2 linked regions of the Xenopus tropicalis genome follow. The protein of the gene in region 1 interacts with the protein of each later gene in a pairwise test. Links are inferred from orthologs where the notes say so. Each region holds a gene or a part of one and is shown in the gene's direction. Other genes may lie near its edges. The genes, in order: cd63 and timp-1.

Region 1 (4,266 bases):
TCAGTACCAGTAGATCACTTTAAAGTTTCTGGTAGACCTCAAGGTGGAATGCAATGGGATGACATCCCGCCACTTTTTTCCCCTCCAGCATACTGGAGACTTTGAGTGCGGCTGCTTAAGCCATCCCTCTTTGTAGTTTCATCCCAGTATAGAAGATTGTCCCCACTGGGCCGCTGATTATATTTGTTCCCACTTTATATATGTTTCTGTGTGCAGACTACAAAGTGGGCCATGAAGAAGGGAAGTAAAAACTACTACAATCCTTTCACATTAAACTTGAAGTTGCCGCTTAAATAATATTATGTGGGCGTTAAATGTGAATTTGGCACTGCATTTATATATTGCTATGTGTATTTGTTAAACATAGATTGAATTTTTTTTTGCTTATTGCGCCAAATGATAGACGTCTCACTATTTTAACTGTGGTATATCTCATGGCGGAGGCTAGGTGGCAAGAGTAGATCACAAGGTGACAAAGTCTGGGCACCCCTGCCAGTGTTGGGCTGGAACCCCAGGAGCCACCAGAATACCTTAGACTATGGGCCCACTCTCCAAAATATTTTTCCTCCTTTCCTCTCCTATTATTTTTACTTACATTCTAGCATCTATCCTTCCATCCATTTTTCCTTTGTTCCCATTCAGAAATAGGGAATGACCATGAAGTAGGCCAAATGGTCAGGAGCAGGAGGGCCCACTGAAACCTGGGCCCACTGGGAGTTTTATTTGTATCCTGGGGGGCCAGTCCCACACTGACCCCTGCTCTACTGCAATCTTTACTTGTCCCTTAGGTATAGGGAAAGCCAATCGTGTAGTTATTTTAGTTGCCACAGGGTAATCTAGGTTGGAAATGAGAAAAACTGCTTTTTCAGCGTTGTGGTTTGAAGCCCTGGGTCCCATTAAACTTCCACATCGTGGCTAATTATTAGAAAGTTGAGTTCCTGCGAAAAGTAAATGAAAAGGAAGTGGGAGTGCAAGAGCCTGTTATTGGGAAGTGAGGCACATGAGGAGAATGAGCAAGCTCCCCCCTGTCCCACTCACCCATTTCCTAACCCAAACTCGGGGGTTCCCCGGAGCAGCCCGCCCACCCTCGGTAAACATTCTCATTATGGAGCCTGTGTCATGGTGATGTCAGAGTCACATGGCGCCAGCCCTCCGTGTAATCACAAGGGGAGGAAGTGTTGCGCTAGGGAGGGGGAGGTGTAAGTGCCTGGCAGAGAGTTACTTCGCAGACTAGAGAGGCAGCACAGCAGAGTCACTCGCCGCAAGTTACCAGGGAGGAGAACGAGAAAGGTAAAGGGCGGGCAGGCAGGGTGCGGGGCAACGAGAGCGTTGGGGGCGCTAGCGGGGAGGCGCTGAGTACAATCCCAGGGAGCGCTAGCGGGGAGGCGCTGCTGTATAAATCCCAGGGAGCGCTAGCGGGGAGGCGCTGAGTACAATCCCAGGGAGCGCTAGCGGGGAGGCGCTGCTGTATAAATCCCAGGGAGCGCTAGCGGGGAGGCGCTGCAGTATAAATCCCAGGGAGCGCTAGCGGGGAGGCGCTGCAGTATAAATCCCAGGGAGCGCTAGCGGGGAGGCGCTGCTGTATAAATCCCAGGGAGCGCTAGCGGGGAGGCGCTGCTGTATAAATCCCAGGGAGCGCTAGCGGGGAGGCGCTGCTGTATAAATCCCAGGGAGCGCACAGAGGCGCAGCTGTTAGTCGGACACATCCAGCAGTGAGCGCTGCCCAGGGAGGGGTCACACTAAACTCTACTTTATCGCAGCTCTATTTCCCCTTGCAGGCAGAGCGGCAGGATGGCGGTGGAAGGGGGAATGAAATGTGTCAAGTTCCTTATGTTCTTCTTCAACTTCGTGTTCTGGGTAAGGCCACTTCTACTTCTCAATCCCAACAGCGGCCAAGGGCTGAGTCAGTGGGAGGCTCCGTGGGGCTCTGAGGTTGTTGCTATGATCCCGGGTTAGTGGTGGAAAGTGTGGCATGTTATAGTTCGGCCACAGCTTTAGAGCCGCTGATCTAGTGCTCTAGTCTAGCCCTGATATCTCCTAGTAGAGAACTTAACTCGCCCATATTAGATCAGAGTGTTTGCCAGCTTCTGCCTCACGGGCATGGGGGCTGGCACTGATTTATATCAAAGAGTGGTACGGGGGGAGGATTGTTGTCTCTTAACTCAATCTCCCCCGCTCTTATCATGGGAGGCAAGTTAGTGTGCAACAGCTGCCCGGACTGGTTATACACAGTCATGTGACCTGTGCAGCCTGTTGCCCTGGGGTGAATATTCTGCACTCTCCGGCTCCAGCTTGATTTATTCCCCCTGCTCAACAAGCTCTTCAGCTGATCAACCACAACCATTAGCTTTCCAGATGTTCAAAAAGTCGCTGGGTTCTGGGAGTTGTAGTTCAGTACCATATGGAAGGCATCCCATCGCTAGTCCTAAAAAAAACAACTATTTTTTTAAAATACATATGCTGTGCAGCAGCTATGAGGAATTTGGTACATTTCTCTAAAGCCTTTCTAAATAAATATGTAACTCCATACACACCTACAGGCAGATAATGATTTTGTAAATACATTGCAGCTGCAGTGAGTAAATAGTATCACTTTGCATGTTTATGGGATACATTGTTGGGAGTCTTCTGGCCAAGGGAAGTGCTCTGGGCACTGCCCTGAAATTGTAAGGTCTCCAAATCATTCCCTGTAGGCTTCACACCCCTCTGCAGTACTGCCTAACAGTCCAGGGCCTGTTTAATATTTGGGTAGGATATTAAAATACAGTTATTTGTAAAAAATGGTAAATGATGACTATATGATCCCAGACTGCTCAAAGAACCAGAATGTTATATTTTTTTTTAAATGACAGGTGTGACTGAGGCCTAAAGCTTACAGGGGATTTGAACTATTATGGACTAGTATATTGGCCAGTCTGCCACTCCCCTTACTTATGAAGACTATATTACCTTTAATTACAGTAATGGTTTTGCTTTTCCTTGTACGATTCTATGAAACCCAATCCCTTTCTTGAATCATAAGTAGATAATATCTCATTTAGTACTATTTGGGGCTTTCATATCTTTATGGACCACACCCATTTTAACTCTTGAAATTCTTGAAAAGTTGCCTGCATATTTTTAATGTTTTTGAACTGACCTTATACAAGGTTCTTGTATATCTGTTTTATTAAGAGGCGGGACTAAAGCTATCTGAGTTCTGGTGGAACACAGAACTGATAAGGCCACACAGTACTTCTGGTCACAAGGTTTGATGGTGCTCCTTTCACCAGGGCTGAAATGTGTACTGGTAGTGGGAGAGGTATGGAAGAGTGTTTTCCCAACCTCAGTTACTACGTTAACTGGTTCGTTTAGGAGAGAGGGGCAAGATTATCGAAAGCTGAGATTAAAATTAAAATGAAATGCGATCATATGTGTTTAAACAGACTAAGCAAACTGAAGGATTTCCTGGTTGGTTACCCAGAAAGGCTTTGCCCTTGTATGATTAAAATGTTCATATATACACGTATGCATTGTGATATCTTGTCAATATTTAATGAAGGTTTGTACACCTATTTTAGGTACTGTGTGGGCAGTGAAACAGTAGATTCTTATTTACAGAAAGGGTTGGTACATAGCTACAATTAGAGACCCGTAGGTAGGGATGCCATCTTTTATAGGGGGGGAAATTATCTTTATTCCTTACATGGAACAATTAAATCAAGCATAATTCTACTATCCAGGTGGTAACACTATTTGTAGGTTGTATGAAAGCAACAACCTAATGAGTTTAGGACATCTAGTTTTTAAAATCATGTTGCATTGTAGGCAGAATGCTCCTTTTTGAATTGATGGTTATTACCCTGTAGCAGGTTTTAAAAAGACACTCGGTGCTGCCAGTGGCACATGATATAATCTGTATGGCGGATAGACCCATAGGTGCAAGACTTACGTTATTGTTCTTTCAAGATAACTGCCTTACAAGAGCGTAGTTTCACTCATGTCTGCCTCTTGCCCCGTTGGCCAGAAAGGCCGATATTGTTTACTTTTATTCTATTTGTTATGGCCAATCTCTATGAACCCAGCAATTCCCTGTCCCTTCTGTGGCTAGCAGTCTTGCATAGTCAAGTATATGCTGTTCTATGAAGGGTAAAAGTCAATCATTTCAGTAGCCCATGGCAAGCACATTTTTTACAGAATAGGAGGGCTGGCCCATGGTCACTAGGTGGGGTACTTAACAAATTGGTATCCCCTGTTGTTCTACCTTTTCTTGTCCTTTAAAAACCA
Region 2 (3,150 bases), on another chromosome or scaffold:
ACTGTGAGGGCTGTGGCACAGGGAGGAAGGGAATGGGGCAGTAGAAGGGGACGGGGGGTAGGTGTTCCTCATCACAGGTGAGAGCTCTGCCCCGCTCTCTAACACCCAAGCACTATGCTGTAAGGGCTGTGGCACAGGGAGGAAGGGAATGGGGCAGCAGAAGGGGATGGGGGGGATAGGTGTTCCTCATCACAGGTAAGAGCTCTGCCCCGCTCTCTAACACCCAAGCACTATGCTGTAAGGGCTGTGGCACAGGGAGGAAGGGAATGGGGCAGCAGAAGGGGATGGGGGGGTAGGTGTTCCTCATCACAGGTAAGAGCTCTGCCCCGCTCTCTAACACCCAAGCACCATGCTGTAAGGGCTGTGGCACAGGGAGGAAGAGGATGGGGCAGAAGGGGGAACAGTTAGTGGGTGATTGGCAGCTGCAGTGAAGAGAATGCCCCATGTGCCCTGCTGGGGTTGGTATCAATCCCCTGCCCCCCTCAAGTATCAACCCCGCCTCTCTACCAACACGCCCCCTGATGCCAATCTCTTTATTGCCCCTGCCCAGGGCACGTGATGAACGGTAACCTGCAAATCGACCAGTGCAACTTCATCGTTCCTTGGGCCTCACTATCGGTCGCCCAGAGGAAGGGCTTCCAGGAGGTCTATCCCAAGTCCTGTTCCTGCAGTGTGAGTAGCCGTGGGGCAAGTTACCCCTCCCAATCCTGTCTTGCCCCCACCCGGACCCTCTCTTTATTCACTGACCAGCCCATATTATATTGTGCCCTCCAATAGGGGTGAGCCTCCCCCCATAACCCCCCTGTGTCTTGCCATGCAGTTTCCCATTCTGTTTGCTGACCTATATAGCTGCTCCCCCTAGTGCCCAGGACTGGTACTGCAGTAGCCATGAGATCCCTATTGCCCCCATTAGAGTGGGTCACTAGGGGAGGATTTCTATTGGCCGATAATAACTGGGCCCTTCTCTCCTCCCCCTACAGATTGGGCCCTGCTACAGTGGTACCTGCCCCCCCCTAGTGCCCAGGACTGGTACTGCAGTAGCTATGAGATCCCTATTGCCCCCATTAGAGTGGGTCGCTGGGGGAGGATTTCTATTGGCCGATAGTAATTGGGCACTTCTCTCCCCCCCCTACAGATTGTGCCCTGCTACAGTGGTACCTGCCCCCCCTAGTGCCCAGGACTGGTACTGCAGTAGCTATGAGATCCCTATTGCCCCCATTAGAGTGGGTCACTAGGGGAGGATTTCCATTGGCTGATAGTAACTGGGCATTTCTCTCCCCCCCCCTACAGATTGTGCCCTGCTACAGTGGTACCTGCCCCCCCTAGTGCCCAGGACTGGTACTGCAGTAGCTATGAGATCCCTATTGCCCCCATTAGAGTGGGTCACTAGGGGAGGATTTCCATTGGCTGATAGTAACTGGGCATTTCTCTCCCCCCCCCTACAGATTGTGCCCTGCTACAGTGGTACCTGCTCCCCCTAGTGCCCAGGACTGGTACTGCAGTAGCTATGAGATCCCTATTGCCCCCATTAGAGTGGGTCACTAGGGGAGGATTTCCATTGGCTGATAGTAACTGGGCACTTCTCTCCTCCCCCTACAGATTGTGCCCTGCTACAGCGGTACCTGCCCCCCCCTAGTGCCCAGGACTGGTACTGCAGTAGCCATGAGATCCCTATTGCCCCCATTAGAGTGGGTCACTAGGGGAGGATTTCCATTGGCTGATAGTAACTGGGCATTTCTTTCCCCCCCCTACAGATTGTGCCCTGCTACAGTGGTACCTGCTCCCCCTAGTGCCCAGGACTGGTACTGCAGTAGCCATGAGATCCCTATTGCCCCCATTAGAGTGGGTCACTAGGGGAGGATTTCCATTGGCTGATAGTAACTGGGCATTTCTTTCCCCCCCCTACAGATTGTGCCCTGCTACAGTGGTACCTGCTCCCCCTAGTGCCCAGGACTGGTACTGCAGTAGCTATGAGATCCCTATTGCCCCCATTAGAGTGGGTCGCTAGGGGAGGATTTCTATTGGCTGATAGTAACTGGGCATTTCTTTCCCCCCCCTACAGATTGTGCCCTGCTACAGTGGTACCTGCTCCCTGGAGTCCGACAACCAGTGCCTTTGGACCGACGTACTGGTGAACTGGATGGAGCCCCTGAATGGGTCCCAGTCCAAGTACATGGCGTGTGTGGACCAGGGCAGCGGTTTGTGCTCGTGGGAGTCCCAGAAACCCAGCGCCATCGCTGCCCGGAATAAGGCGGCAGCGTCGGGTTCCGCAGCAGAATAACCTGGGGGGGGGGGTGCTTCGTGGGGGATAATGGGAGGGGCCACTTTAAGGGGGAGGAGTTGGTTTGTACATTTGAGTGCACGTCCCCTTTGTACCGGGGGAAATAAATGTCTTTTTATGGTTTTTGTACAATGTCTCCAGCATCTGCATATCCTTACTCTATACACACGGGGGTCCCGAATACTGGGTACCCCCAAAGCCTCCCCCCATCTACCTGAGTGCTCCCCGTGCCCCATGTGTGCTGCCCAGCAGGGGATTTGAGGGCACATTCCATGGCATAGAGAGTATGGGGGCGGGGCTACCCAGGGGGGCGGGGCTACCCAGAGGGCTACTCAGGTCACAGCACAGGCAGCTAATTCCCAGGGAAATGACTCCCAGCCGCCGCCGCCCCGTGACTCACCATCTCCTTATGGTTGGGGTAATAAGTCTGTTCTATGAGAGGGAAGTCGTCCGGCCCCAACTTCCTGTGTAACCGCACCAACTGGGAGAACTGGAAAGAGAAGGAAACGGATCAGAACTCGGGATAACTGCCCCCTCCCCCATACAGAAATGGATCAGTACCCGGGATCCCCCCCCCCCCCTCCCCCATACAGAAACGGATCAGTACCCGGGATCCCCCCCCCCCCTCCCCCATACAGAAACGGATCAGTACCCGGGATCCCTCCCCCCCTCCCCCATACAGAAATGGATCAGTACCCGGGATCCCTCCCCCCCTCCCCCATACAGAAATGGATCAGTACCCGGGATCCCTCCCCCCCCCCCATACAGAAATGGATCAGTACCCAGGATCCCTCCCCCCTCCCCCATACAGAAATGGATCAGTACCCAGGATCCCTCCCCCCCTCCCCCATACAGAAACGGATCAGTAC

Evidence for each region.
Region 2: the proteins of cd63 (region 1) and timp-1 interact in binary tests that used the Homo sapiens proteins (3 or more experiments, as listed by UniProt). The link is inferred for Xenopus tropicalis from reciprocal best matches to the Homo sapiens genes CD63 and TIMP1.

The regions. Positions count from the first base shown.
Region 1 is NC_030678.2:137,148,066-137,152,331, reverse strand, and holds the start of cd63 (CD63 antigen), read left to right. Parts: upstream 1-1,194; 5' UTR 1,195-1,290; intron 1,291-1,778; 5' UTR 1,779-1,791; coding exon 1,792-1,857; intron 1,858-4,266. UniProt on the Homo sapiens protein: Functions as a cell surface receptor for TIMP1 and plays a role in the activation of cellular signaling cascades. Plays a role in the activation of ITGB1 and integrin signaling, leading to the activation of AKT, FAK/PTK2 and MAP kinases.
Region 2 is NC_030684.2:1,442,278-1,445,427, reverse strand, and holds the end of timp-1 (uncharacterized protein LOC100135142 precursor), read left to right. Parts: intron 1-550; coding exon 551-672; intron 673-2,062; coding exon 2,063-2,281; 3' UTR 2,282-2,410; downstream 2,411-3,150. Other genes in the region: syn1 (synapsin-1), read right to left, coding at 2,682-2,771. UniProt on the Homo sapiens protein: Metalloproteinase inhibitor that functions by forming one to one complexes with target metalloproteinases, such as collagenases, and irreversibly inactivates them by binding to their catalytic zinc cofactor.